Macaca mulatta: one gene and its partners. The protein of the gene in region 1 interacts with the protein of each later gene in a biochemical or structural test. Links are inferred from orthologs where the notes say so. Each region holds a gene or a part of one and is shown in the gene's direction. Other genes may lie near its edges. The genes, in order: CRK, DOCK1, MAP4K1, BCAR1, ARHGAP32, ERBB3 and ABL2.

What was found.
Region 2: the proteins of CRK (region 1) and DOCK1 form a complex in vitro, tested with the Homo sapiens proteins (3 studies listed by BioGRID and IntAct, with this or other methods). The link is inferred for Macaca mulatta from reciprocal best matches to the Homo sapiens genes CRK and DOCK1.
Region 3: the proteins of CRK (region 1) and MAP4K1 form a complex in vitro, tested with the Homo sapiens proteins (2 studies listed by BioGRID). The link is inferred for Macaca mulatta from reciprocal best matches to the Homo sapiens genes CRK and MAP4K1.
Region 4: the proteins of CRK (region 1) and BCAR1 form a complex in vitro, tested with the Homo sapiens proteins (2 studies listed by BioGRID, with this or other methods). The link is inferred for Macaca mulatta from reciprocal best matches to the Homo sapiens genes CRK and BCAR1.
Region 5: the proteins of CRK (region 1) and ARHGAP32 form a complex in vitro, tested with the Homo sapiens proteins (2 studies listed by BioGRID and IntAct, with this or other methods). The link is inferred for Macaca mulatta from reciprocal best matches to the Homo sapiens genes CRK and ARHGAP32.
Region 6: the proteins of CRK (region 1) and ERBB3 form a complex in vitro, tested with the Homo sapiens proteins (2 studies listed by BioGRID and IntAct, with this or other methods). The link is inferred for Macaca mulatta from reciprocal best matches to the Homo sapiens genes CRK and ERBB3.
Region 7: of the proteins of CRK (region 1) and ABL2, one has a biochemical effect on the other in vitro, tested with the Homo sapiens proteins (2 studies listed by BioGRID and IntAct, with this or other methods). The link is inferred for Macaca mulatta from reciprocal best matches to the Homo sapiens genes CRK and ABL2.

What each region holds. Positions count from the first base shown.
Region 1 is NC_133421.1:2,969,749-2,973,109, reverse strand, and holds part of CRK (adapter molecule crk), read left to right. Parts: intron 1-1,966; coding exon 1,967-2,104; 3' UTR 2,105-3,361. UniProt on the Homo sapiens protein: Involved in cell branching and adhesion mediated by BCAR1-CRK-RAPGEF1 signaling and activation of RAP1.
Region 2 is NC_133414.1:139,493,532-139,497,779, forward strand, and holds part of DOCK1 (dedicator of cytokinesis protein 1), read left to right. Parts: intron 1-3,141; coding exon 3,142-3,295; intron 3,296-4,248. UniProt on the Homo sapiens protein: Involved in cytoskeletal rearrangements required for phagocytosis of apoptotic cells and cell motility. Along with DOCK1, mediates CRK/CRKL regulation of epithelial and endothelial cell spreading and migration on type IV collagen.
Region 3 is NC_133424.1:49,706,091-49,710,858, reverse strand, and holds the start of MAP4K1 (mitogen-activated protein kinase kinase kinase kinase 1), read left to right. Parts: upstream 1-1,513; 5' UTR 1,514-2,710; coding exon 2,711-2,809; intron 2,810-2,980; coding exon 2,981-3,038; intron 3,039-3,158; coding exon 3,159-3,249; intron 3,250-4,357; coding exon 4,358-4,422; intron 4,423-4,768. Other genes in the region: EIF3K (eukaryotic translation initiation factor 3 subunit K), read right to left, coding at 160-258, 1,267-1,325. UniProt on the Homo sapiens protein: Serine/threonine-protein kinase, which plays a role in the response to environmental stress. Appears to act upstream of the JUN N-terminal pathway.
Region 4 is NC_133425.1:70,566,246-70,570,493, reverse strand, and holds part of BCAR1 (breast cancer anti-estrogen resistance protein 1), read left to right. Parts: intron 1-1,964; coding exon 1,965-2,126; intron 2,127-2,302; coding exon 2,303-2,419; intron 2,420-3,181; coding exon 3,182-4,248. UniProt on the Homo sapiens protein: Docking protein which plays a central coordinating role for tyrosine kinase-based signaling related to cell adhesion. Implicated in induction of cell migration and cell branching. Involved in the BCAR3-mediated inhibition of TGFB signaling.
Region 5 is NC_133419.1:129,332,575-129,336,822, reverse strand, and holds part of ARHGAP32 (rho GTPase-activating protein 32), read left to right. Parts: intron 1-152; coding exon 153-1,195; intron 1,196-2,507; coding exon 2,508-4,248. UniProt on the Homo sapiens protein: GTPase-activating protein (GAP) promoting GTP hydrolysis on RHOA, CDC42 and RAC1 small GTPases. May be involved in the differentiation of neuronal cells during the formation of neurite extensions.
Region 6 is NC_133416.1:63,241,583-63,245,830, forward strand, and holds part of ERBB3 (receptor tyrosine-protein kinase erbB-3), read left to right. Parts: intron 1-1,510; coding exon 1,511-1,584; intron 1,585-1,746; coding exon 1,747-1,837; intron 1,838-2,084; coding exon 2,085-2,290; intron 2,291-2,503; coding exon 2,504-2,636; intron 2,637-2,821; coding exon 2,822-2,912; intron 2,913-3,138; coding exon 3,139-3,293; intron 3,294-4,021; coding exon 4,022-4,075; intron 4,076-4,248. UniProt on the Homo sapiens protein: Tyrosine-protein kinase that plays an essential role as cell surface receptor for neuregulins.
Region 7 is NC_133406.1:36,527,309-36,531,556, reverse strand, and holds part of ABL2 (tyrosine-protein kinase ABL2), read left to right. Parts: coding exon 1-215; intron 216-1,541; coding exon 1,542-1,626; intron 1,627-3,038; coding exon 3,039-3,216; intron 3,217-4,248. UniProt on the Homo sapiens protein: Non-receptor tyrosine-protein kinase that plays an ABL1-overlapping role in key processes linked to cell growth and survival such as cytoskeleton remodeling in response to extracellular stimuli, cell motility and adhesion and receptor endocytosis.

The sequences.
Region 1 (3,361 bases):
AAATAAAACCAAATGAACAGAGTATGCCCAGAATTCAAATATTGATACTTAAAGGATGGTCATAAAACTCTTTAGTCCAGTGGCATGGCATCTGAGGCTGTATTTCACCATTCAGCATTTTGCCATGGGGTGAATCCATTCATCAGACTGACCTCTGAAGTTTCATAGCAGGATAGAAATATATCATAGATTGTTAAAACTTTATATTTCGGCCGGGTACAGTGGCTCACGCCTGTAATCCCAGTACTTTGGGAGGCCAAGGTGGGTGACTCACGAGGTCAGGAGATCAAGACCATCTTGGCTAACAAGGTGAAACCCATCTTTACTAAAAATATTTTAAAAATAGCATCCAGGTGTGGTCGCGGGCACCTGTAGTCCCAGCTGCTTGGGAGGCTGAGGCAGGAGAATGGCGTGAACCTAGGAGGCGGAGCTTGCAGTGAGCTGAGATCCCGCCACTGCACTCCAGCCTGGGTGACAGAGCGAGACTCTGTCTCAAAAAAGAAACAAAAAAACAACTTTATATTTCATTTTGCAACGAGACATTTCGTAAATACATGCTGAAATACAGGGGGGTTTTTTGTTTTTGTTTTTTGAGGCAGGGTCTGGCTCTATTGCCCAGGCTGGAATGGAGTGGTGTGATCTCAGCTCACTGCAACCTCTGCCTCCTGGGCTCAAGCAATCCTCCCACCTCAGCCTCCGGAGTAGCTGGGACTGTGAGCGGCCACCACCACACCCAGCTAATGTTTGTATTTTTTGTAGAGATGGGTTTCACCATGTTACTCAGGCTGGTCTCAAACTCTGAGCTGAAGCAATCCATCCACCTGTGTCAGGCTCACCAAGTGCTGGGATTGCAGGCATGAGCCACTGTGCCCAACCATAGTTGGTTTTTTTGACCCCTCATTGGGTAATGATCAGGTAATCAGCAGCATTGAGGGAGCAGCAAGGTCTGTCGAATGGTGGGATTGGGGGGCTGGGCAGGCAGTGGCTTGTCAAGTAGAGCTTGCTTAATGAGGTGGGGGTTTTCTGAGAGCTAATTGGATTTGGAGTTTGGACCTCTACCTGCCCATACGGGAAAAGGCTTGCCTTGGTCAGGAGGTGATGGGAACACTTGATTTTCTAGGACCAAGTGACCTATGCTTGCCATGATCAGTTTCTGCTGTGCAAGCGGTAATAGACCAGGACATGTGTGCGAGTGGGCTGGGGGACTGTGCTGCTGCCGGACGCTAAAGATGGGAGAAGGTGGCCGGGCACCGTGGCTCACGCCTGTAATCCCAGCACTTTGGAAGGCCAAGGCGGGTGGATCACGAGGTCAGGAGTTCAAAACCAGCCTGGCCAAAATGGTGAAACTCCATCTCTACTAAAAATACAAAAATTAGCTGGGCATAGTGGCGGGCACCTGTAGTCCCAGCTACTGTGGAGGCTGAGGCAGGAGAATTGCTTGAACCTGGGAGGCAGAGGTTGCATTGAGCTGAGATCATGCCATTGCACTCCAGCCTGGGCAAGAGAGCAAGACTCCATCTCAAAAAAAAGAAAAAACACAAAAAAAGAAGGGAGAAGGTTGCTTCTCCTCGGACAGGGTCTGCGGAGCAGGTAGAAAGCCGAGGGTAGTGAGTACAAAGAAAGGGAATACTAGCTCACTCACTGAAGTGGGGATTGCTTGTTCAGAGACACTTGAGATTTCCAATAGTTACCACTTTCCTTTTTTAATCAAAAAGTATCATTATCTGGGATCCTGTTTTACTTTCTGTATTCTCTGTTTTTCTGCACTGCTAAAAACACTTCTTCCTTCTGCCTGCATTAACCACAAGGAATCAGTCTGGTGGCTGGGGCTGGGGAGGCAGCAAGGGGCCATTTCTGTCACATCCCTAGAGCAATCACATGGGCAGGGTGTGCTGACCAGAGAACGGAGTTGTGCAGCTGCATTCCTAACTGGAAATAAAGTGCTCTCCTTATTCTCCTCCTGCAGGTCGGTGAGCTGGTAAAGGTTACGAAGATTAATGTGAGTGGTCAGTGGGAAGGGGAGTGTAATGGCAAACGAGGTCACTTCCCATTCACACATGTCCGTCTGCTGGATCAACAGAATCCCGATGAGGACTTCAGCTGAGTATAGCTCAACAGTTTTGCTGACAGATGGGAACAATCTTTTTTTTTTTTCCAGCTGCCATCTATACAGTTTTCTTACAGATGTCAAAAGCAGTCTAGTTTATATAAGCATTCTGTTACCTGTGATCTTTTTTTAGACTGAACTACTCCATTCCTAGTCTTCTGTACCATATTCAGGGTACGAACTGGAGGGCTCGTGTGTTAGCTTCTGAAATTGGCAATTGTAGGAGGTAGTGGCCGTGCCTGTGTGTATCAGAAGGGATAGGTATCTTGCCTCCTTTCTCTCAGGCAATGCAAATCACCCTGTGGAAAACCGATGGACAGGAAGGAGTATTACACACTGCTTACCCTGATTTATTCAGTGGTTTTGTTTTCATTCTGGAACCATACTATCAAATGGCGACAGACTGTTCCCTTCCACCCCCGGGAAGTAATGCACTGTGTGAATAGTATCAAGCAGGACTGCTTTCATTGTATGGAGCATGACCAGCATATGACTCATTCTGACATTTCAGATCCTAAGAATTCTAAGAACACTACTAGAAGCATTTGTTCCTTCCTAGTCGATGCTTCATACTTTTTCTTGGGATTCTTTTAGCCCTTGACATTCTTGTCCCCCAAACCTGTAAGTAGGTTAATTCCTAGGATAAGTGTGTATTTTCATTCCAGGTGAGAAGCAGAATGTACCGAGCACTTTATTCAGTGCATAGCTTTAAGCCAGTGTTGGATTCACTAAGTGGACAGCCAGTCTCCCAGCTCTCTGCCTTCCCCTAAAGGGTCGTAGTAGGTCACCCTTCTACAGCAGTTAACTAGAGTCCTAACTGATGGGATCCAGCAGGGCCATTTCTCTTGAAGGCCAGTATCCTATTAGGAGACTCTTGGAATTCTTAGGTTCTACTCAGAGTGGAAGGACCAATCACCTCTAATATTCTGTGGAAGGTTTTGGGGCCAAATTCTGCCCTCTGCATTCTGTGCAACTTGTATAAAAGTCAAGTTAGTATTACATGAGTTTGGGGTAGGGTTAGTGCTTTGAAAAATGTTGAACTGGCTGGGCGGTAGCTCACGCCTGTAATCCCAGCACTTTGGGAGGCCGAGGCGGGTGGATCACGAGGTCAGGAGTTCGAGACCAGCCTGGCCAACATGGTGAATCCCTATCTCTACTAAAGATACAAAAAATTAGCTGGGCGTGGTGGTGCGCGCCTGTAATCCCAGCTACTTGGGAGGCTGAGGCCGGAGAATTGCTTGAACCTGGGAGGTG
Region 2 (4,248 bases), on another chromosome or scaffold:
AGCGGGCTATGATTAGAGGGTTAGACGTACTGCACTGCTTGTTTATAACTTAAAACCCAGAAAGTTGGTTTTATCTATACTTCATGCCACTCAGAAAGCAGTCACATGCTACCTGGCTATCTAGAGGTGGAAGGCAAACCCCCCAGCCATGACTTGACGTCCAGCAGGCCAGCGCTGCTCTGTGGCCTGTGGCTGCAGTGGGGCTGGAGAATTCCCGTGAGGGTGGCCGAGATGTCAGGCCTCGGGGGGCACTGGCTGGAGGCTGGCCCGAAGCACCCAGACGCTCAGCCTCCAGCAGATTGAGGGGGTCCTGACCACACAGCGTGCTCTGTCTGCTATTCTCGGAAGTTGGGATGCCCACCACCCCAGAGGTTGGCTGAAGTCTCCTTCTCTCAAGCCCCAGGTAGATTTCTCAAGTCTCAAAACATCGTAGCTGGGTAGTGGAATGAACAGAAGCATTTTTGAATATTACTTAGTGCCAGACACTATGCAAGTCTTTCATACATTTTAATTTAAGCTCCGTTTTAAGATGCTAAATTGGAGGCCTCAGAGAAGTTGTGCCAAGTGGCAGGATTGATCACAGCTGACTTGTGTGAAAAGTCCAAAGACACAAGCACACACGTGACAGGCACAGAGCCAGCACAGTGCATTTTCTGTCCCTGCCTGTGGTGGCCCAAGCATCCTTCTAGGATCCTTGCAAACAGCAGGGCTAGGGGCAGCACCACAAGGGCTGCTTCCCCACGGTTGTCCGTAGCACCCTCAGCAAATCCGCAGGAACTCAGCAGGGTCAGAGCACAGAACATTGGTGGCACTTCTCAGCATCTGGCCCAGTGTCAGCTTGAGCCTTCCAGCACCAGGAGGCAGGGCATCTGAACCTCCCACTGGGGACAGGCTTCCTATTCTTGGTCCAGCCCAGCAACCTGTCTGTCTACACAGAGGCCACCTCCTCCAGGGGACGGGTGCCGGCAAGGTCTGTGAGGACAGTCAGACACCTGAAGTTTCCCAGCAGGCGACTGCGTGCCTGTGACCAGCCATGCTGCAGGGGAGGTGGGGAGGAGGTTCACAGGAGCAGAAGTAGCAACCCATTCCCTGGGGACAACACCAGCCACCCTCCCCACCCCCCACCCCCGCTTACCCCTACTGTAGTGTCCTCCTTGCCCTTCCCCCATGCTGGCCTCCCCTGCACCCCAGCTTCTGCCAAGGTTTTCCCTCCTCACCCCTGGGGCTGGGTTTGGTTTCCTACTTGATTTGCATCATCAACAATTTCCTGACCTTTAGCTGAGCCTCTCCAGCCAGAGCCTCCAGGCTGCAATTTGCATCACAGCAGGCCAGCCTCCTCACGCTCTCTGAATCAGAATGTGCCCGCCCTGGGATGCAGGGAAGCCAGGAGAAGCACCTTAGCAGATCCCAAATCTCTCTTGCCAGCACATTCGCCTTCAGAGGGCCCAGCACTTCACCCAGCCTTTCCCGACTTCCCACGGCAGTTCTGCTGCCTGGAACAAGGCCATTTCTTCAGAGGAGGTGCAGCTCCTGGGCACTTGGCTCCCCTGACAGCACAGTATAGTTCTGGAAATAGACCTGTTGGCCTGGCTCTGTCACTCATTTGCCAGAGGGCCTGAATCTTCCTCCCAAGCCTGGTTCCCATTTCCTCCTTCCAGCCTCAGTAACCCCCAGACTGGCCCTGGCTCGGCTGACTCCTCCTGGGGCAGACATTGAAGCCTACCTGCTCTGTTGCTCACCCAAACCAGCACAGCCCATCCGCCAGGCCCCCAGACCTAGCACCAAGCCGGAGCTGCCCACTCACCTGCCTGCCCTTCCTTGGGGGAGAACCTTGACCCCTCCTTTTTGGCTGGGTTAATAAGTTTTCTAATTACTCCTGCCTCAGAGTATTCTGTCACTGCTCCTGTTCCCCAAAGCCTGATGAGCAACCTGTAAGAAATACATACATACAACTTACTGATGGAACAAACAGGGAAAGGGCTTCGGTGGGGGAAAGTCAAGTGCCTCCAAAAGCCAGAGATGAGCAGGAAAAAATGCATTGAAAAGGAGAGAAAAAGAATCCCTGCCCGGTAATGACCTAGGATGTGAGAAGCAGCAAAGGAAAGGAATAGCAAAAATCCTTCAGCCAGTTCCTAGACTTTCAGGTACACACCAAAGAGACCAAAGCATGCTGAGCACACCTGGGAATAATTCTGCCACGGAACACGTGTCCATGTCCAAACTTCCCTTTTTCATAAGGTCACATGTCCTATTGGATTAGGACCTGTTACTGGGAAGTGTGCAGGTCCTTGATTCTTAGTCTTAGAGGACAGAATTCAGCCAAGAGACCAATTAGTAAAGTAGGGAAATTAGTAAAGTAGGTAAAGCAGGCTTATTAAGGAAATAAAAGTAGCATAGACTCCAGGAGAGGAGCAGGCTGACCCTGTGGAGAGCAGCCCCTGGGAGTTCTGTGTTGTGGTTTTTATACTGGACTGATTTAAGCTCCCACCTCTGTCTTAAGCCTCTCCCTTTGTCTTCGTGTATTTTCCCAGCTGTCTTAAGTCTCCACCTTTTCCCTGCCTAGTTCCCGCCCAGGTTTGTGGGACTTTCCCTTGCTGCTAGTTGATGTGCACACTCGGGCTCAGTGATCAATAGGAATCCTACCTAATGGCAGCATTGCTCATTACCACCACCCCAAGAAGGTCGTATTGCGGTCAAATCTGTACATACTGTGCGAGTGTGTCTCTTAGGAATTAACCCCTTGCCCTGTTTCCCTCCTGATCAGCATGTAGCCAGCTACATTGTAACAGGTTAGCTGCAGAGGGAGCAATTACTGGGTGTCTTATGGGGTGTTTCAGGGCGCTCCCTCCTGCCTAGGTATTCCCCTCCCCTCTGCTCACACCTAGCATGTGTGTTTCGTGGGGGTCTCTGGGGCATGAGATTTTCCAGAGTTTCCTCCCCCGTCTACCTTTCCTGTTCATGTCTTACAATCTGCCCACTAACAGGCCACACCTCAGCTTGATCATTTGCAAAGACCCTATTTCCAGTTAAGGTCATATTCTAAGGTAATGGGGGTCAGGACTTCAACATAGGAATTTAGGTGAAAATGCAGCTCGGCCCATAACAGACCCTAACTGTGCTCTTTCTCTCCTTTCAATGTAGATAAGTCCACTGCGGCCCCAGAGACCGAAGAGCCAGGTGATCAACGTCATTGGAAGCGAAAGGCGCTTCTCAGTGTCCCCCTCATCACCGTCCTGCCAGCAAACACCTCCTCCGGTTACACCAAGGGCCAAGCTCAGCTTCAGCATGCAGTCAAGTAAGTAGAACAGTCCCCACATAAGTATCGTGCTATAGCTCTGTGACTTCCCCTGGCTGAAGGCTCTGAGGTTAGAAGCGCTTCCTGCCTCCCTTTGCAGCAGAGGGTGAGAGTTCAGATAAACACCTGGCTTCCTGGGAGTGTCCCTTGGAACAGGCTGTAGAGTCTGGACTTCCGCAAATCAGGCCAAAACTCAGAGCCCAGGTCTCCAGCACTGGAGGGGCAGAAAGTGCAGGGTTTGTCCCAAGGTCCATGTGGAGGGGACCTGTGAGGCACATGGAACTGCCCCACTTCCTATCCCAGGACACAGAGCTGCAGGAGGCCGTGGGCCTGCTTGTGTCTAGGACTGTGCACTGGAGAAGCACCTCCAGGCAGTTGGCAACAGCTAAGGGGCACAGCTTATTTTTCTAGTTTTGACCAATGTTTAAATTACCCTAGAAGTTGCCACAAAACTAGTGGCTCCAAACAGCAGAAATCTGTTCTCTGAAGGTTTTGGAGGCCAGAACTCTGAAATCAAGGAGGTACCAAGTTGGTTCCCTCTGGTGGCTCCAAGGGAGAGCCTGTCCCAGGCTTCCCTCCAGCTTCTGGTGGCTCCCAGCAGTCCCTAGCCCTCCTTGGCTGTGGCCACATCACTCCCCTCTCTGCCCCTGTCTTCACGTGGCCTCCTTCTCTGTGTCCTCTCCTCTTAGAAGGACGGCAGTCATTGGATACAGGGTCCACTGCAAATCCAGGATGATCTCACCTTGAGATCCTTCGCTGATGACATCTGCAAAGACCCTAAATCCAAATAAGACACATTCTGAGGTTCTGGGTGGCCCTAAGAGGTCTGCATTTTGGAAAGACTCTACTCAACTTACTCTAAGTGGTAGACAGCTTTTCACCACTGGATTCAGAGCCAGCAGAGAGGAGAAATCTTGGCAGGGAGAAGGTGCTGGGGGTGAGGATGGCAGCAG
Region 3 (4,768 bases), on another chromosome or scaffold:
CATCCCTCCTCCTGTCCCAACTTCCTTGGCTTCCTAGTCTTGCACACCAAGAGATGCTGCATCATGCAGGATACCACCAGCCACCCCCTTGCCCTGTACTGGGAGTGGCACCCTGCTAGCTGCTGAAATGGGAGTGTAGACAGACAGCCAGACACTTACAGCTTCAGGACAGCCAGGTTGGCTTCCAGATCATAGGCATTTTCCTTGGCCTGCGTCTCCACATAGCGCTCCAGGGTGGCCAGGTTCTCAGGATTGTACCTAAAGGAGAATCAAGATAGGTGAGCAGACAGGAGACAGAAGCTGAGGCCAGTCACTTTACAGTTGCAGGGGCAACTGTAACCTGCTCCTCCCACCCTTCCCCTCTAAATCTGGCACTGGCCACTTGCTCTATCCAGGTAGTGAATTATGTCCAGTATAATCTCTAATAAAACTTATTCATATCCCAGACCTCTCACCTAAGCTCTATACTCCATTGGAGCCCTGGGTCTTGCCTAGGATACCTCCCCAACCTCTGAGCCAGTCAGTCACTGCAGCTTGTGCATCTGGCCTCCTGAACATCTCTGTTACTCACCCCTTCCTCCCCTGCTCAGGCCTCCACCCTGATCCAGCCCCATCCTCTCCTGCCTACCTGGATGCCTACTTCCCCCATGTCCGTCTGAACACTCTAGCCTTTGCTTCCCCCATTTCGGTTCTAACCTCTCCCAGATATCACTGTCTGATGTCAGGTTTGTCTCCCTCATGGAATGGGAACTCAGACCGTGAAGGCATGATCTGCCGCTGTCTGATTCGCCTGTGGTTCCCAGCATTGCCTTAGCACTGACACTTTATTTCAATAAACATGTGAATGAATGACGTAAGGAGCAGAGAAGGGAGAGATTCAGAGGCACTCAAAGGAGGCAGGGCAGAGAAGGAAACCTTAAGGCAATTCACGAAGAGACTGAGCGGTACCAAGATTCTTTCGCTTCTAGGCCTTTGCAGGGCTGTTTCTTTCTTTCTTTTAAAGACGGGGTATGACTGTTGCCCAGGCTGGTCTCTAACTCCTGGGCTCAGGCGACCCGCCTGCCTCGGCCTCCCAAAGTGCTGAGATCACAGGCGTGAGTCACCGCCCCCAGCTCAGTGGCGTTTCTTTAAGCATCTCCTCCTCCAGGAGGATAGAGAAACCCCACCCCGCGGCAAGCCCAGGACCCTGACCACCCCCTGCTGCCTCCTGAAAACCCTCCCCTCCGCCCCGCATGGCCAGAGCGCTCCCTCCGACCGGGCTCAGACCTGTCGATACCCTTGAGCAACTTGCCCACGTTAGCTCTCATCTGTTCAAACATCGCCATGACTTCTGTCGCTTTCCACAACCAGGGCTGGAGACTAATACCGGCCCGGCACGGCGTCCGCGAGGACGGGAAAAGGAAGAGGTGGTGGAAACGGAAACGACGTCATTGTTGTCGCTCCAGCTCCCTGGGGGCGGTGAAGGGACAGGCTCTCGCAGCAGCCGCCACGCTTTCCGGCTGCCACGTGACTTCTTCCTCGCAGGGGCAATTAGCGCGTGCGCATTCGCTCCACTCAAGCTGGACGGACAGCGTGAGAAAAAGCTTACTGTATCCCAGTGCGCAGGCGCCTCTCGGCGAGGGGCGGGGCTAAGCTTTTCCCGGGCCTCACAGACCCAGTTCCAGTGCCGGGGGCGCGGGAGCGTGCGCGCGCGAACTCATTGGGAAGCAGTCGGAGCTCTGGCGGCGTGCGCGCGCGTTGTATTGCGCGCGGCCATAAGTCCCCGGAGCTGTGCGGGAATGCACGCAGCAGCCCTCCGTTTAGGCATTGGCCAAGTCCCGAGGGAGATGTTCTCTGAGGTCCCTCTCGCCTCAGGCCTGGGCGCATGGTGCAGGATCCTGAGCGCCCAGGATCCAGTTTCAAGTCTCGGCCCTTGGTCCCCAGCTCCAGGAAGAGGGTCCCACAAAGCTATTGTGCTCTGCCGGGCAGGGGCTGGGGTGAGGGCTCCTGGACTTCGCCGGATCGCGCCCGGTCTCCATTAGGTTCCGGTCTTGGAGCTGAGGGCGAGGGTCCTATCTGTACTGCCATCAATTATATATCATGTATAGGTTTTGTACACTGCAAGCGTAGAAAATGCAGTTATGTGCCATGTATGTGGAGGTATATGCGCTGGGTACCTCCACGTGTGTACTGTGCACACAGGTATCTAGGTAGATGCACATCTACACGTCTACATGCCCGCGCAGTGCACAGGAGGTAACCCAAGTGCATGTATGTGACAGGTGAACAGGCATGTACACTGCGTAGTCATCCTTGTGCAGACTTGCCGCCTTCGGGTTGTGGCCAAACCTTCAAGCACCCAGTAGAGGTTTAGACACTACCTAGGAGACGGGGGCGGGGGTTCTAAGGCACCCCCCTCCAATCCAGTTACCATTAAGATCATTTGCATCACATTTACATCCAGCCCTGGGCCTTGGAGGTTGAGGATGGTCCCTTGGGTCCCAAGACAAGCTGCCCCTCAGAGGCTCTCAGCGCCCAGGGGACAGGGGGTGGAGCCCTTTGCACAGCCCTGCAGTGCAGCTGGGGCAGGAAGCGAGAGTGGGGAGGAGGGAGGCCACAGCCCGCGGAGGCAAGGCGGGTGCAGGGCTTCTGGGGACAGAGGGAGGTGCCAGAACTTGAGCCCTGAGGCCCTGCTGGCCCCTGGGCGCAGGCCCAGCTCCGGCCCCCAGGGATGGACCTCGTGGATCCGGACATTTTCAATAGAGACCCCCGGGACCACTACGACCTGCTGCAGCGACTGGGTGGCGGCACATATGGGGAAGTCTTTAAGGTGAGAAAGCCCCTCTGTCCCCAACACCCTCAAACTAGTGGCCTTTAAGGCAAGGCCTCGGTAGGGAGGAGGCTGCAAGAGGGGGTCCCAGTCCTTGACCTTGACTCAGGGATGCTGAGGAGGGACGCTGGCAAATGGAGCCTGCCTGACTGCCGACTTCCCCTTTGCAAGGCTCGAGACAAGGCGACAGGGGACCTGGTGGCACTGAAGATGGTGAAGATGGAGCCTGGTGAGGAGGGAACCCGGAGCTCCTTCCCCACATCCCCACCTTCGCCTCCTGGGACACTGGGATCACCTCCCTCGTAGCTCTCTCCATGCGAGCTGCCTTTCTCTCCCACCCTCCTCACAGATGATGATGTCTCCACCCTTCAGAAGGAAATCCTCATATTGAAAACTTGCCGGCACGCCAACATCGTGGCCTACCATGGGAGTTATCTCTGGTGATGAACCTCAGACCCACCCTGGCACCCAGCCCAGCCCCTAACGCAGAGCCTCCATTTCTTGATGGGGGTACCCTCATTTCTTTTTTTTTTTTTTTTTTTTTTCATTTTTTTTCATTTTTTTTGAGATGGAGTCTTGTTCTGTTGCCAGACTGGAGCGCAGTGGCATGATCTCGGCTCACTGCAACCTCTGCCTCCCGTGTTCAAGCAATTCTCTGCCTCAGACCCCCGAGTAGCTGGAATTACAGGCGTCCACCACCCCACTCGGCTAATTTTTATATTTTTAGTAGAGATGGGGTTTCACCATCTTGGCCAGGCTGGTCTTGAACTCCTGACCTCGTGATCCATTGGCCTTGGCCTCCCAAAGTGCTGGGATTACAGGTGTGAGCCACCGTGCCTGGCCTTGGCACCCTGAGTTCTAACCTTGAACTTCCATTTCTCACCATAACCCGGCCTCCCATCCTGGACCCCCATTTTTGACTGGGCTAACCCTACCCTGATCCTCACTCCTAAGTCCCACTTTTCTGACCAGAGCAGCCTCTAATCTAATCTCCAATCCAGAATTCCCATTTCTGATCAAGAGTACCCCAAACTGATCCCTTCATAGTAACGGAATTGGAAATCAACTCCCTAGAAACGAAGCTCTCATCATTCTGCCCTCTGGCTCCCCCAGTTCCACTCTCTGTTCCTTTAATATAAACTTCTAAATTCCCTGATCCCCAAATTAATATTCCAGATGTCCCAATACTGACCTCTGCTCCCCGGAACAGATGCCCTGGGCCCCTCTGTCCCCTCCAAATCTCCACAACCCGTGAGATCTCTGCCCTACCTCCTAGGTTGGCGTGGGACGGCAGAGGGGTCCCGCCCAAAGGTCTAGGTTTGAGTTGACTTGCCCCGGAACTCACATTTCCTCTCTGAGCCTTAACTTCCTTGTCTGTGAAACGGGAATGAAACCACCTCACTCTGGTAGACAAGGAGAGATGGAGTGATGAGAGCTGTTACATTAAAGTTCTTACTGATCTAGAACAAGACAGAAGCAAACCAGGGACTTTCCTGCAAATAATAATGTATTACTGCTATTATTATTCTTACCCTTGAAACACTGCAGGTTGCAGAAGCTCTGGATCTGCATGGAATTCTGTGGGGCTGGTTCTCTCCAGGACATCTACCAAGGTTAGAGAAAGCACAAGGGGACCCAGGCAACCCTCCCACCCCCACCCCCCAACCCCGACCCGAATTCACCTCTTCGTCTGTGTGTGTGTATCTCACAGGAACTGTCTTTCTGGGCCGTATTTCAAACTCCTGGGCTGAGCTGATCCTCTTGCCTTCAGCTGCTGAAGTGCTGAGATTACAGGCTTGAGCCACCGTGCCTGGCTTTTTAAAATTTAATTTAATTTAATTTAATTTAATTATTTTTAAAAATATAACTGCTGGGCCTGGTGCGGTGGCTCACGCCTGTAATCCCCGCACTTTGAGAGGCTGAGATAGGTGGATCACCTGAGGTCAGGAGTTCAAGACC
Region 4 (4,248 bases), on another chromosome or scaffold:
CAGAGACCGTGTGGGTGTTATGTCAGTGTCTGTGACTCTGTCCCCTCCTCCTGGGCTCTAGCTGTGTTCCCCTAACCCCCAGGGGACCTCCAGGGCCTGCTGGTGGGGTCTCAGGTGTGTAGCAGGGTGGCCTGTGATTAGCAGCGTCATTCCCCTAATGAGCGTTTTCCGCTGGTGGCTGCCTTGCTCTGTTTTTCTAACAGAAACATTTGGTCACTGTGGCTGCCTACTGCCACCCGACTCAGCTCCAAGAGTGGCAGGCAGCCGTTTGCCTGGGGAGGCTGGCCTGGGTCCAGCTGCGCCCCTGGGCCTCACCGCATGAGGTTGGGACGGCCACCAGCGGGGTGCTCTTGGAGGATGCTCACGCCTCCCTCCTGCTGGTGCTGGGTCCTGGCTGAGCCTTGGGGCTGGGTCCCCACCTGCCTTTGGGAGGCTGGGAGGCCTGGAGAAGCCTTAGGCCGTGCCTCAAGGCCCAGCCAACCTGCCACGTCCCTCCGCCCCGCCTGCACCACTGTTGGCAGGTCCCTGCGTCTAAAAATAGTTCTGGAGGAGACTCAAGTCTGGAGCGCGTGGAGGGAGATGAGTCTGGAGAGGCAGCCGCCAAATCCACTCCCAGACGCACTGGAGGGGGGTGGGGACACCCCGCGGAGGCCCCCAGCCTGTGGGGCTCTGCTACCAGGCGCGCTGGAGACCCACTGGGCCCAGCTCTGCTGCGCTGCGGGGGGCTCTGCCAGGCCTGGGGCTGCTGGGGGGTGCTGGGCGCCTCTGCCGCCCCCATGCCCTGCACCCCCTCACAGCACCCTCAGTGAGCAGGGCTGGCTGCCTGCCTGCATTGGGAGGGCCTCTCGGGGTTCAGGGGCACTGGGCCCGAGGGAGAGGCTGCTTTGGCGCTGCTGCCCTGGGGGATGTGCAGGGAGGCCCTGAGTCAACCCTGTCCCAGACATCCCCTTTGATGAGGGAACAAAAGGTCTTTCAGTGGAGAGAGCTGAACAGGGAGCCTGGTGGTGGAGGCGTGTGGGTGCAGTGTGCCAGGGGCTGGAGAATCCCACCAGGGAGGCCTTGTCCTCCCCAAGGCAGGGAGGCTTTTGGGGAATGAGGCTGCCTGGCATGGCCCCTACCCCCTTCAGGCCATTACTAGTGAGGGGCAGCGTGGTCCTGGGCAGGTGCTTGCGCTGCCTGCCTTGGCCGCCCCGGGCTCTGGACCAGGGTAAGAGAGCCTGGGGAGGGAGGGCTGGCCCTGGACCTGCCTCCCCCACTAAGCCTCATCCTTTCAGGTTGCTGGGGATCTAACCTGCTGCAGGCAGCTCCCCCGGGGCAGGCGCGGCAAGGCAGGGCAGCCTTGGTTCCAGCTGCTGTGGCCCCCAGCACACGCTCAACTTGCCCCTCTGCTCCTGTCCTCCAGAGTCTCCCCATGCTGTGCTGTGGGGCAGGGGGTGCTAGGCTCTGTCTGGTCCTGGGCTGGACGCAGTCCCCTGCTGGGCCAATCCTTCTGAGGAGGCTACAGCTCGGTGGTGTGGGCAGCAGGCTCCAAGGCCTCCGACGTGACCTCTCGTCCCGCGGGGCTGGGCGCCCCAGTCACGGGGGGTTCCTTGCCTGTGGGTAGTGCCCTCCAGAGCCAGGGCCCCAGCCCCTTACCCCACCGGTGTCCCCCACCGTCATCAGCTCACACCCATACTCATCTGTGGAGCCTTCCGGGTCAGCAGGCTGTAGAGATGGTGGTGTCCTGGCCCAGGACCAGGCAGCTCTGAATAAAACCCGGGGTTCTTGCTGTACCCAGCACTACGTTCCGCTGGAGGAAGGTCAGAGGGTGCAGAGTGGGTGAGAACTGGCGTCCTTGGGGAGCCCCGTCCCTTCCACCTGGTGTGCCCTGCCCACCTCCCAAAAGGACGTGGCTCCCAGGTGTGAGTGGAGCCTCCCTGAGGGCCGCTTCGAGGGCAGCAGTGAAGTCAGCTCTCTGCCCCCAGGTGGTGGTGCCCACCCGCGTGGGGCAGGGCTACGTGTATGAGGCCGCCCAGCCGGAGCAGGACGAGTACGACATCCCGCGACACCTGCTGGCCCCGGGGTCACAGGACATCTATGATGTGCCCCCGGTTCGGGGGCTGCTTCCCAGCCAGTATGGCCAGGAGGTAGGTGTGGGGTGCGCAGCAGCGGGAGGGCAGGGCGGCGAGTCTGTGCCTCTGCTTGACCCTGGGCAGGGAGCTGCATCTTCTCAGCCCTGGCCAGGCCTGGGGGCAGCGCCGCGGGGTTTCTGCCTTTCCCGTTCCCCCTGGCGCCATTAACCCTCCACTGTTTCTGCCCCCAGGTGTATGACACGCCCCCCATGGCTGTCAAGGGTCCCAATGGCCGAGACCCGTTGCTGGAGGTGTATGACGTGCCCCCCAGCGTGGAGAAGGGCCTGCCACTGTCCAGCCACCACGCGGTGAGCACATGCCAGGGCCAGGCTGAGACTGTGGGGTGTCTGGGTGTGTGCACTGGGGTGCTGACCAGTGTCTTCAGGGCTCGGGGTGGTGGGCAGGCAGAGACTGGCTCCAGACCCGGGTTCTGCTCCTCACTGGATCATTGATAGAAGAGGAAACCGAGCTCTCTTCTGAGCCTCAGCTGCTTCGTCTGCAGAGCCGCCTGTGGGAAGGCCTTCCCCATGAGCTCCTGAGAGGGTATCTGCAAGGTGACCACAGGGTATGTCCTGTCACCTGAGATACTTCCAAGAGTGAAGGGGGGACTAGTAATTATGTGGGAGCATCAGGGACAAACCAGGACTGTCCGGAGCAAACCAGAATTTGATCCCCTGATAATACCCGCAGAGCTCAGTCACACACGTGCTGCAGAGTGGAAAGTTCACACGTGGTGGTGGTACTGGGTGGTACAGTGGTGGTGGTGGTGATGAAATCATGATATGATGGTGGTGGCAGTGGCAGTATGAGAGCTAACCTTTCAGTGAGTCTGAAGTGACACAATTATGTGAATTAACACGTGTCATTCCTTGAGAGGAAGTTCTCCCACCTTCAGGTTCTAGAGCCGGCTCGTCCCAGAGCTGTCATGGATGGGAATCGTGAAGGATGTGTGTGCCGGGGCTGCGTGTGTGCCTGTGTGTGTGTACATGTGTGTGGCTGGGTGCTGCCCCCAGCCCCTGGGGTGGGCAGATGGACGGATGGACAGCCTTGACTGCCGCTTGTTCCCCCAGGTCTATGACGTTCCTCCATCGGTGAGCAAGGATGTGCCTGATGGCCCGCTGCTCCGTGAGGAGACCTACGATGTGCCCCCCGCCTTCGCTAAGGCCAAGCCCTTTGACCCGGCCCGCACCCCACTGGTCCTGGCTGTGCCCCCTCCAGACTCCCCGCCGGCCGAGGACGTGTATGACGTGCCGCCCCCGGCTCCTGACCTCTACGACGTGCCCCCTGGCTTGCGGCGGCCTGGCCCAGGCACCCTGTATGATGTGCCCCGTGAACGGGTGCTTCCTCCTGAGTTGGCTGATGGTGGCACGGTTGACAACGGTGTGTATGCGGTGCCTCCCCCAGCTGAACGTGAAGCCCCGGCGGATGGCAAGCGCCTTTCGGCCTCCAGCACCAGCAGCACACGTAGCAGCCAGTCCGCATCCTCCTTGGAGGTGGCGGGGCCGGGCCGGGAACCCCTGGAGCTGGAAGTTGCCGTGGAGGCCCTGGCACGGCTGCAGCAGGGTGTGAGCACCACCGTTGCCCACCTTCTGGACCTGGCAGGCAGCGCTGGTGGGACTGGGAGCTGGCGTAACCCCTCTGAGCCGCAGGAGCCGCTGGTGCAGGACCTGCAGGCTGCTGTGGCTGCCGTCCAGAGTGCCGTCCACGAGCTGTTGGAGTTTTCCCGCAGCGCCGTGGGCAATGCTGCCCACACATCTGACCGCACCCTGCATGCCAAGCTTAGCCGGCAACTACAGAAGATGGAGGACGTGCACCAGACGCTGGTGGCACACGGTCAGGCTTTTGACGCTGGCCGGGGAGGCCCTGGAGCCACCCCTGAGGACCTGGACCGGCTGGTGGCCTGCTCGAGGGCTGTGCCCGAGGACGCCAAGCAGCTGGCCTCCTTCCTGCACGGCAATGCCTCACTGCTCTTCAGACGGACCAAGGCCCCCGCTCCGGGGCCCGAGGGGGGTGGCACCCTGCACCCCAACCCCACTGACAAGACCAGCAGCATCCAGTCACGGCCCCTGCCCTCACCCCCTAAGTTCACCTCCCAGGACTCGCCGGATGGGCAGTACGAGAACAGCGAGGGGGGCTG
Region 5 (4,248 bases), on another chromosome or scaffold:
CATTTGCATGTGGGATAGAAGATCATGGATTGCCATTTTGAAATATGGAAGGCACCTATTTTTTAGTGATCACATGGGGAGTGTTTGGCTTTCCATTTAGGATAACGTAAGCTACCTTTTCACTCTCATTTTTTTTCCCAATTTCCCACTAGGAGCAGTTACCCATGACCCCCCTCAGGATTCCGTTCCTGTCAGTTCAGTCTCTCTTATCCCACCACCACCGCCTCCGAAAAATGTTGCCCGAATGTTGGCGCTAGCATTAGCTGAGTCCGCACAGCAAGCCTCAACTCAGTCATTGAAGAGACCAGGGACCTCTCAGGCTGGGTATACAAATTATGGAGATATAGCGGTGGCTACAACTGAAGATAATCTGCCCAGTTCTTACTCTGCAGTTGCTCTAGATAAGGCCTATTTTCAAACCGATCGACCAGCAGAGCAGTTTCACCTCCAGAATAACGCACCAGGAAACTGTGACCATCCTCTACCAGAGACAACAGCTGTTGGGGATCCTACCCATTCCAACACAACTGAATCTGGGGAGCAATATCACCAAGTAGACTTAACAGGGAATCAGCCACATCAAACATATTTATCTGGGGACCCAGAAAAGGCCAGAATTACTTCAGTTCCCTTAGACTCAGAGAAGTCGGATGATCTTATAAGTTTCCCTGAAGACCAGTCTGGGAAGAACAGTATGCCAGCTGTCTCCTTCTTGGATCAGGACCAGTCTCCACCCCGTTTCTACAGTGGAGATCACCCTCCTTCTTATCTTGGTGCAAGTGTGGATAAACCCCATCACCCTTTAGAATTTGCAGACAAATCTCCCACGCCTCCTAATTTACCTAGGGATAAAATCTTCCTTCCTTCTGGGTCCCTTGCAGACAAATCACCCACACCTCCTAATTTACCTAGGGATAAAATCTATCCTTCTGGGTCCCCCGAAGAGAATACCAGCACAGCCACCATGACGTACATGACAACTACTCCAGCAACAGCCCAAATGAGCACCAAGGAAGTCAGCTGGGATGTGGCTGAACAACCCACCACTGCTGATTTTGCTGCTGCCACCCTTCAGCGCACACACAGAACTAATCGTCCCCTTCCCCCTCCACCTTCCCAGAGATCTGCAGAGCAGCCACCAGTTGTGGGGCAGGTACAAGCAGCAACCAATATAGGATTAAATAATTCCCACAAGGTAAGAAGGGGAAGATATCAGTGAGATGAAATATACTATTACCAAAGGTATGTCACTTTTCAGCAGGGTGTGTTGTTACCTTTGAGTCAGACACAACAATTGCTTTTAAGCCCTATGGCTGGTTTCCATGAAATAATTCCCATTTGAGGTTGGAGCCTGCCGTTACCTTGATGCTGGCTTTTCCCGAGAAAAGGGAGTAGCTCCTCCATGACTATAGCTTAACTGTACCTGCTCCCTTTTCTTCTAAAGTGTCTTGGTAGTTTATTCCTAGTAACACAATAAACTAGTAAAACACTAGTTTATTCCTAGTAACACTTAGTAAGACAAAGTGGGCTTTAAGGTTGTGAGTTTTTTTTTTTTTTTTTTTTTTATTCCAACTCCATCGCTGACTCATTGTGACTTTGGGCAAGTCATTTACCTACCCTCTGCCAATTATTCACAGTTACACAATGAAAATACTTCATTCTCAAAACATCCGTAGGACTGTCTGCCTTGCAGACTTTTTGCAAGTGTAAGAGATTATAGTACCTTGGGATTTTTGTTACTTTCCTAGCATCCACCAGCAGTTTGTCCCATAGTCAGGCACCTGCTTCAGTGAGAGAATGTAGTATACAGAATGCTAAGGTTTCTTCCTGAATTTCCTCATATTTTAAGAAGGGCCACAGGTTGTTTTTCTTAGTCATCTTGAACTATTAATAGGACCTCAGATTTTAGACCTTAGTGGAGGATGCTGTGTTTACTGCTTCTCAAGGATAGCATGTTTTCAGTATGAGGATTATCTTTGGCCAGACTAAGGTGGAATCAAAGGTAGGGGAGAGGCAGTAGCCTCTGATTTGAATATTGCCTTTCCCTATTTTTGAAGGCCTAAAGCTGCTCAGTGTGTACAACTGTGAATTTCAAAAGTCTCTCCAGATGATAGAATTAACTCTTAATTTAACAAAATGTCCTTGGTGTTGAGACTGAGCTAGACTAAGAGACCGGGTATGTATTTTTAAGCTCTACAGTATTACTTGACTAAACCTCTCTTGGTTTGTATATTAAAATCATGCCATAGGCCACCTCGCCTCGCATTTAAAACCTCTCATAAATTAGAAAACTTTGAATGGTTCTCCAGAGAGAATACTATATTTATACAAAATAGCAGCACCAGCCTTCTTTTCCTATCAGTGGGTACAGATTCATTGCAACCACATGGCTTGGGAAAGTTCAAGTTGCTACCCAACCAGCCTCAATTTGTGAGTTACAAATTTAATAGTACTTGATTCATAGACGGAACAAAAAATAGATGCATAGTATTATGGTCTTTCAATAGGTTCAAGGAGCAGTTCCAGTTCCAGAGAGGCCACCTGAACCTCGAGCCGTGGATGACCCTGCGTCTGCCTTCATCAGTGACAGTGGTGCAGCTGCTGCTCAGTGTCCCATGGCTACAGCTGTCCAGCCAGGCCTGCCTGAGAAAGTGCGGGATGGTGCCCGGGCCCCGCTGCTGCACCTGCGTGCCGAGTCTGTCCCTGCACATCCCTGTGGCTTTCCTACACCACTGCCCCCCACCAGGACGATGGAGAGTAAGATGGCTGCTGCCATACATTCCAGCAGTGCAGATGCCACCAGCAGTTCAAATTATCATTCCTTTGTCACTGCTTCATCCGCCTCTGTGGATGATGCATTGCCTTTACCACTTCCTGTCCCACAACCTAAGCATGCTTCTCAGAAAACAGTTTACTCCTCCTTTGCTAGGCCCGATGTCACCACTGAACCCTTTGGTCCAGAAAACTGTTTGCATTTCAGTATGACTCCAAACTGCCAGTACCGTCCCCAGAGTGTACCTCCACATCACAGTAAATTGGAGCAGCACCAAGTGTATGGTGCCAGGTCAGAGCCACCAGCCTCCATGGGTCTTCGTTATAACACATATGTGGCCCCAGGAAGAAACGCATCTGGACACCATTCCAAGCCATGCAGCCGGATCGAGTATGTGTCGTCTTTGAGCTCCTCTGTTAGGAATACCTGTTACCCTGAAGACATTCCACCATACCCTACCATCCGGAGAGTGCAGTCTCTCCATGCTCCGCCGTCTTCCATGATTCGCTCTGTTCCCATTTCACGGACAGAAGTTCCCCCAGATGATGAGCCAGCCTACTGCCCAAGACCCCTGTACCAATATAAGCCATATCAGTCCTCCCAGGCCCGCTCCGATTATCACGTCACTCAGCTGCAGCCTTACTTTGAGAATGGCCGGGTCCACTACAGGTATAGCCCATATTCCAGTTCTTCTAGTTCCTATTACAGTCCAGATGGGGCCCTGTGTGATGTGGATGCCTATGGCACAGTCCAGTTGAGACCCCTTCACCGCCTTCCCAATCGAGACTTTGCTTTCTACAATCCTAGGCTGCAAGGAAAGAACTTGTACAGTTATGCTGGTTTGCCTCCACGTCCCCGGGCCAACGTGACTGGCTATTTCTCTCCCAACGACCATAATGTAGTCAACATGCCTCCGGCGGCTGATGTGAAGCACACCTACACCTCATGGGATCTTGAGGACATGGAAAAATACCGCATGCAGTCCATCCGGAGAGAGAGCCGTGCTCGGCAGAAGGTGAAAGGGCCTGTCATGTCCCAGTATGATAACATGACCCCGGCCGTGCAGGACGACTTGGGTGGGATCTATGTCATCCATCTGCGTAGTAAATCAGATCCTGGGAAAACTGGACTTCTGTCAGTGGCAGAAGGAAAGGAAGGCCGCCATGCAGCCAAGGCCATCAGTCCCGAGGGAGAGGACCGCTTCTACAGGAGGCATCCCGAGGCAGAGATGGACAGAGCCCACCACCACGGAGGCCATGGTAGCACGCAGCCGGAGAAGCCATCCCTGCCGCAGAAGCAGAGCAGCCTGAGGAGCAGGAAGCTTCCTGACATGGGCTGCAGTCTCCCTGAGCACAGGGCGCACCAGGAAGCAAGCCATAGGCAGTTCTGTGAGTCAAAGAATGGGCCCCCTTATCCCCAGGGAGCTGGCCAGTTAGATTATGGGTCCAAAGGGATTCCAGACACTTCTGAGCCAG
Region 6 (4,248 bases), on another chromosome or scaffold:
GCTCCTTGGAGCAGCAGAACAAAGGGACTTTCTAGTCTGTAGGACAGCACTTAAAATATATGTGTGTGTGTCTGTGTGTGTATGTGTGTGTGTGTCAGAAAAAGAGAGGGAAAAAAACACTATAACCACCTGTTTTTTTTTCCTTTAATTTTTTATTTTGACATAATTTTAGATCTACACTGAAGTTGCAAGAATGGTGTAAAATTCCCCATATACTTTTTTTTTTTTTTTAATTGAGACAGAGTCTCAACTCTGTCGCCCAGGCTGGAGTGCAGTGGTGCCATCTCGGCTCACTGCAAGCTCCGCCTCCCGGGTTCACGCCATTCTCCTGCCTCAGCCTACTGAGTAGCTGGGACTACAGGCGCCCACCTCCACGCCCGGCTAATTTTTTTGTATTTTTAGTAGAGACGGGGTTTCACCGTGTTAGCCAGGATGATCTTCATCTCCTGATCTCATGATCCGCCCGCCTCGGCCTCCCAAAGTGCTGGGATCACAGGCGTGAACCACCATGCCTGGCCTCTTTTTTTTTTTTTTTTTTTTAAGACAGAGTCTCACTCTCTTTCCCAGGCTGGAGTGCAGTGGTGCAGTCTTTGGGTCACTGCAACCTCTGCCTCCCGGTTTCAGGCAATTCTCCTGCCTCAGTCTTCCGAGTAGCTGGAATTATAGGCATGTGCCACCATGCCCGGCTAATTTTTGTATTTTTAGTAGAGACAGGGTTTCACCATGTAGGCCAGGCTGGTCTCGAACTCCTGACCTCAAGTGATCCACCCGCCCCTGCTTCCCAAAGTGCTGGGATTACAAGCGTGAGCCACCACGTCCGGCCCCCCATATACTGTTTTACCCAGATCCTCCAAATGTTAACATACCACATGTGGCTGGATGCAGTGGCTCATGCCTGTAATCCCAGCACTTTGGGAGGCCTAGGCAGGTGGATCACTAGGTGTGGATCACGAGGTCAAGAGATCGATCGAGACCATCCTGGCCAACATGGTGAAACCCCATATCTACTAAAAATACAAAAATTAACTGGGCGTGGTGGTGCACTCGTAGTCCCAGTTACTGAGGAGACTGAGGCAGGAGAATTGCTTGAACCCAGGAGTCGGAGGCTGCAGTGAGCCGAGATTGCTGCCACTGCACTCCAGCCTGGGCGATAGAGCAAGACTCTGTCTCGAAAAAAAAAAAAAGTCTTCCTTTCCTATTTATTTACTCTTATGGATACTTATTTTATTCTAGTCAATGGTTATGATCTTTTACAATCATCATTTATTTTAGCCAGCCCCTCCAAGCTGGCTCCTGTGTTCTTTGGGCTGTACCCTTAATTCTTTGAGTCTTTTCTTGTCTGCACAAGATGCTCTAGGCTCATATAGTTCCCCCATCCCAGCCATTTCTCCAAGGAATGTTTCCTTTTAGTGGAGAATGATATTTAGAAACCAAATTCTGAGGCTTGGTGTGCTCACTGCCACTGAATTATACCTTTACCTTATTGACTGGTTTCTACTGTTCTACTCAGAGACCCCTGGCACAAGATCCCTGCCCTGGACCCAGAGAAGCTCAATGTCTTCCGGACAGTACGGGAGATCACAGGTGAGTGGTAGAGAGTTTGGCCTTTCTAGAATAGACGAACCACTGGCATAAATTGCGGTATAACTACTTGAGAAAATCATGTCCCAAGTTACAGGGGAGGAGCTAGGAGAACCCAAGAAAGATGAAGTCTGCCTGCCCATATGCCTCTCTCCAACCCCTCAGGTTACCTGAACATCCAGTCCTGGCCACCCCACATGTACAACTTCAGTGTTTTTTCCAACTTGACAACCATTGGAGGCAGAAGCCTCTACAAGTGAGTAAAGACTATGGCAGAAGTGGCATCTTCAGGCATTCTTGAGTAAAATACAAGGCACCGTCTCATACAGCAGTACCTCAATACCAAAGGGTTTCAGAGTTTCATGAGGAAAAGGCAAAAGGAGGGGGATTCCCTCTCAGTGGATCTGACTAGCACTGAGCAAATTTCTTGACTAACATGATTCCATTGAATAGTTAATGTTCCCTTAGTAGTCTCTCCTCTCATCCTGTCTCCTTATTCTCAGCCGGGGCTTCTCATTGTTGATCATGAAGAACTTGAATGTCACATCTCTGGGCTTCCGATCCCTGAAGGAAATTAGTGCTGGGCGTATCTATATAAGTGCCAATAGGCAGCTCTGCTACCACCACTCTTTGAACTGGACCAAGGTGCTTCGGGGGCCTACAGAAGAGCGACTAGACATCAAGCATAATCGTCCGCGTAGAGACTGCGGTGAGGGAAAGGGTCTGCTGGGTGGTGAGAATAGGGAGTCAGGGAGGAGAGAGCTGAAAGGACTATTCTGCCCTAGACATGGGAGTAGGGTTGAGGGATGGAACCAAGGAGAAAGGGGCTGTTAGGCCGGAAGCAGTAACGAGGAAGAATAATGAAGAGAGGGCTTGCTGGGAGTCCTCAGACTCCTCTCCTAACCCACCCCTTCCTTTCCAGTGGCAGAGGGCAAAGTGTGTGACCCACTGTGCTCCTCTGGGGGATGCTGGGGCCCAGGCCCTGGTCAGTGCTTGTCCTGTCGAAACTACAGCCGAGGAGGTGTCTGTGTGACCCACTGCAACTTTCTGAATGGGTACAGTGAGGGGAGCCAGTCAAGGATGGGTGGGGTTGGGGCACTGCCATGGAACTGTTCAGGTGGCATATAATAAAAGCCTTTAGACAGCTTTCTGCATATGCCTTGGTGGGAGTGAGGTAGGAGACCAGGTCATGAAGGTCAGGACTTGGAAGTGACCCCTCTCCCTTTATTCCCCACTGCAGGGAGCCTCGAGAGTTTGCCCATGAGGCTGAATGCTTCTCCTGCCACCCGGAATGCCAACCCATGGAGGGCACTGCCACATGCAATGGCTCGGTATAGTAGCAGCACCAGGATCTCCAAGGGAGACACTCCAAGGGAGACAGAGAAGGGGCAATACTTGGAGCATCTGGGGAATGATATGGCTAAGGATAGTACAGAGAGGCCAGATAATGCTAGGGCCTGCAGATAGAAGATCCTGAATGTCTGGGTTGGTTTTTGCTGGGAGGTATGGAATTGACCTTGGGATCTGATTCTTCCTGACCTTCTCTCTTCCACTCAGGGCTCTGATACTTGTGCTCAATGTGCCCATTTTCGAGATGGGCCCCACTGTGTGAGCAGCTGCCCCCATGGAGTCCTAGGTGCCAAGGGCCCCATCTACAAGTACCCAGATGTTCAGAATGAATGTAGGCCCTGCCATGAGAACTGCACCCAGGGGTGAGTGATGGGATAATAAGGAGAGGGGGTCAGGTGGAAGGGTAGGAGCACAGAACTAGGGTGAGGGAAGCGGAAGCAGAAAGAAGAGAGGCTGTGATTTAAGAATCTCTCCCAGCTGGCCGAGTGCAGGAGCTCACACCTGTAATCCCAGCACTTTGGGAGGCCAAAGCAGGTGGATCACCTGAGATAGGGAGTTTGAGACCAGCCTGACCAATATGGAGAAACCCCGTCTCTACTAAAAATATAAAATTAGCTGGGCGTGGTGGCGCATGCCTGTAATTCCAGCTGCGTGGGAGGCTGAGGCAGGAGAATTGCTTGAACCCAAGAGGCGGAGGTTGCGGTGAGCCGAGATCACATCATTGCACTCTAGCCTGGGCAACAAGAGTGAAACTCCGTCTCAAAAAAAAAAAAAAAAAAAAAAAGAGAAAAAAAAAAGAATCACTCCCAGCTGTGTAGCGAAGGATTGGAGAAAGGGAAAATCAGTAACAACACAAAATTACACCACGGTTTTGGGAACATGGAATAACCTCAGTTCAAGAGGGTTTCACTGAAGAGGGGCTTGGGGAGAGCTAGTAAGCTGGGGGTGGAGGCCATGTCTTGGGATCAGCTTTGGGCTCCAGGATGGGATGCCATGGTAAGTTCTAAAACAAGCTTTTGTATGTTGAGGCTGTTGAAATTGAGCCTCTGTTGTCCAAGCTCTCATTTAAGGTAGTGACTTTCTTCCCTAGGTGTAAAGGACCAGAGCTTCAAGACTGTTTAGGACAAACACTGGTGCTGATTGGGTATGATGGGGTTGGAGATTCTGGAAACTGGGGATATTTGAGAGTTGGGAGAGAGGTGGTTACCTGGAGAGAAGAGCAAGGCTCTCTTCATTCTGGCCTTTTATGTACGCAGTCCACTATCACCGGACACTTGGGACTCAAGAATGCAGGCTTCTGGACTTCCCTTCCTAAAA
Region 7 (4,248 bases), on another chromosome or scaffold:
CCACAGTGGCTGATGGGCTGGTGACAACATTACACTACCCAGCACCCAAGTGTAATAAGCCTACGGTCTATGGTGTGTCCCCCATCCACGACAAATGGGAAATGGAACGAACGGATATTACCATGAAGCACAAACTTGGGGGCGGTCAGTATGGAGAGGTTTACGTTGGCGTCTGGAAGAAATACAGCCTTACAGTTGCTGTGAAAACATTGAAGGTGGGTTGCTGAGAATTACAGTTTTCAGGCATCTTTTTCTTTTGTGCTCAATCACTTGGAAATATGAGCATGCTCTTCTTTAACTTTGGAACACTTTCCACCCACTGGTGCCAAGCACATCAGCAAATTGTGATGATTAACCCTAGTGCCATTGCTGACAATGCAGAGGTAGATTATTCACTGCAATGCAATGAAACCCACATGTGGGAAAGGTCTGTCTCTGGAGGCTGTTGATGTAGATCTTAGTGGGAGGTTAGAAGCAAATTAAAAGTTATAAAAGCAAAATAAGCTCTTTTGCTTCCTGAGATCGACCCCTGCTGGACAGAATTCTTTGTGCCTTGTCTGAGAATCATGGGCCTCTTTCTTGTTCTGTCCTTCCTCTCCCTTGTTGTTGTTCCTCCTGTCTCTTCGCAGTTAGAGCACTTCTTAACATTCACAGAAATCTTTTTCCTGGTACTACTATATGTCTCCTTTAAACCTCCCAGTATCAAATTATAAGGTTTTCACTCACTTGATTGTCCCAGACCCTCAGTAACTGTCTCTAGTATATCACTCATAAGGGCTATTCTTCAGCTAATAAGTAGTAGTCAGTTCTGTTTCTTAAGCATATTCTGAGTGTAAAGCAATATATAAGGCCTTGCTCTCTAAGAAGATTATGATCTAATCAAGAAGATAAGTATGTAAGCAGCTAAGTGCTAGGTCTCCTCATTCAAAGCCTGAGATATCTGAAGAAATAAATTGTGAGAGAACTGAAGTATCCAATACAGGGCTCCTGTGTTTCAGTTGATTATAGGACATGATTGCTGAATTTTGCTTCTCCTGCTAATTTTTACTCCAGGACATTTTTCTTTCTAAGTTGGACTTCTTAAAATAATAATCATTTCGGCTGGGTGTGGTGGCTTATGCCTGTAGTCCCAGCAATTTGGGAAGCCCAGGCGGGCCGATCACCTGAGGTCAGGAGACCATCCTGGCCAACATGGCAAAACCCCGTCTCTACTAAAAATACAGAAAGTAGCCAGGCATGGTGGTGCATGCCTGTAATCCCAGCTACTTGGGAGGCTGAGCCAGGAGAATCGCTTGAACCCAGGAGGCAGAGGTTGCAGTGAGATCGTACCACTTCATCCCAACCTGGGTAACAGAGTGAGACCCTGTCTCAAAAAAATAAATTGAAATAAAAATTATTTCTTGTAATATGCTAAAATATTCAAAAGATACTTCTTTTTACTGTTAAAGCTGAAGCTTTAGGATTGTGAGATGAATCAAATGATTTTAAGTTGGGGGTTTGTCCCTCTCGTTTTCTTCTTTCTTACCTTTCCCTTTTTCCAGGAAGATACCATGGAGGTAGAAGAGTTCCTAAAAGAAGCCGCAGTAATGAAGGAAATCAAGCATCCTAATCTGGTACAACTTTTAGGTGAGGAACCTTGCCTGAACCATAGATATCCTCCAAAAATGCTTGTCCTGTAACCCCTTCTTATCTCCAAATGCCCTCTTTTTTTTTTTTTTTTTTTTTAGAGACAGGGTCTCACTCTGTTGTCCAGGCTGCTGTTGAAGTGATTTTCCCATGTGGGCCTTTCAGTATGTTGGAATTACAGGCATGAGCCACCATGCCCAGCCTTCCCCCGCTCCCCCAGCCCCAAAGCTTTCTTTTCAGTCACCATGGTGGAAGCTGCAGGTTTAAATCCACTTCCATAAGTACTTATTTTAATCAGTAGGTTCCATGTTTTAAAATGGCCCAAGAAGCAGTGGCCTGATTGATTTTAGTATATAAAACTGCTCAGTTTGTACTAATTGCCCCAGATTCAAAGTTCAGAAGTGTTCAAAATGGTACTGAACCAAAAACTCATGAAATGTTTTTGCAAAATAAAGAGACATTGAAGGACTGTTGAAGCAAATTAAAAACTGTGACCACACCCATCAGTTTACCTTTACAAGCAGGAAATGCTGTACTATGTTAGATTGGCTTTTCACTGTTCAGGTCACAAAGAACTCTTTTACTAAGCTCTTTTACTTTTTAAAAATAGGGCCAGATTTTTTTTTTTTTTTTTTGGATGGGGGGTGTTTTTTGTTGTGGTTTTTTTTTTTTTTGATAGTCTTGCTCTGTCACCCTGGCTGGAGTGCAGTGGCATGATCCTGGCTCACTGCAACCTCTGCCTCCCAGGTTCAAGCTATTCTCGTGCCTCAACGTGCATCACCACACCCAGCTAATTTTTGTAGTAGAGACAGGATTTTGCTATGTTGGCCAGTCAAGTCTTGAACTGCTGGTCTCAAGCGATCTGTCTGCCTCAGCCTCCCAAAGTGCTAGGATTACAGGCGTGAACCACTGCACCCGACCTCTTGTTGGTTTTTTATAAGGAATCTGCCATATATCAGTGAATTCCTTGACTATGGAAACGATGAAAATCATTTTACAAAGCAGTATTACAGGTGGGGCTCACATAGTCTTCAGCATGTGCACAATTGCTATTACTTTTGAGTAAGTATTGTTAGCCTGCAGTTGAGGAGGAGAATCAAAAGTGTACAAAAGTCTGGACATGTTGGTTTTCTTGGCCCCTTATAGAATTAATACAAGCACGCTGCTTTTGCTCAAACAGACAAATACTCAGAGGCATATGAATTCCCAGAGAACAATATAGTGGAAGCAAGGACTCCCATATAAACCAGCTTCTTAATTTTTGCTTATTAATTTCAGAGAATGTGGTGGTAAAAAGGGAAAAGATTACTGCCGAACTAGACCTGAAAAATTGTCAAATTATTCTTGACGAAAGTGGTTTGAAGTGTTTGAATGTACATTAACAAAAACAAGCACTATTCTTCAATTTTTAGGTGTCTGTACTTTGGAGCCACCATTTTACATTGTGACTGAATACATGCCATATGGGAATTTGCTGGATTACCTCCGAGAATGCAACCGAGAAGAGGTGACTGCAGTTGTGCTTCTCTACATGGCCACTCAGATTTCTTCTGCAATGGAGTACTTAGAGAAGAAGAATTTCATCCATAGGTGTGTAAAACTTACCTCTGACTAACCATGAAGCCATCCTGCTTGACATGCAGATAAAAGGAAGAATGTGAGAACCTTCCCAGAAAATTTCGGATGATTCAAGAAAGTAATTTCGTATTTCACAGGGCCCATTATAATGTCACTTCTAACTTGTAAACAAACGTACTGTACTCTGATTAAAGTATTAATAAGGGGCCTTTGCTGTTCTCAAAACTGAGAACTCTCTTTGGAAAAAAAAAAAATTACAATAGTGATGGGGTCTTGCTATGTTGACCAGGCTAGTCTCAAACTACCAGCCTCAAGTGATCTTCCCATCTTAGCCTTCCGAAGTGCTGGGATTATAGGTGTGGGCCACCATGCCTGGCCAGAGAGCTCTCTTTATTTTGCCCAGCACTGTATCCAAGATCCTTTTTCACCATCTAGTGGCTTTTTTTTTTTTCCCCTTCTTGAGACAGTCTGGCTCCATCGCCCAGGCTGGAATGCAGTGATGCAATCTTAGCTTGCTGCACTCTCTGCCTCCTGGGCTCAAGCCATCCTCCCACCTCAGCCTCCTGAGTGGCTGGGACTATAGGAATGTGCCACCATGCCCGGCTAAGTGTTTTTGTTTTGTTTTGTTTTGTTTTTTTGTTTTTTTGTTTTTTTTGTAGACAGGGTTTCCCCATGTTGCCCGGGCTGGTCCTGCACTCTTGAGCTCAGGAGATACACCCACCTTGGCCTCCCAAAGTGCTAGGATTACAAGCATGAGCCACCACACCTGGCCTAGTGGCTGAGTTTTTAAAATAGTTTTCTGCCTTAGTAAATAACTTAAAGTCTTGTAGAAAAGCATCTATTGCTCACCTATCCCAGTGTACTTATAAATAGGGACCCATTTTATAAAGCCTGCTTTATTCTGCTTCTTGATGAGTGCTCTACAGTGATATATCATTAGTGGGCTTTCTAAGATGTTAGTGATTGTCGGAAAATACTACCATATTTGTCAGCACTTACTTAACTCTGCCTGTAACACAAAGAACCAAGAATAGAGTGTTCACG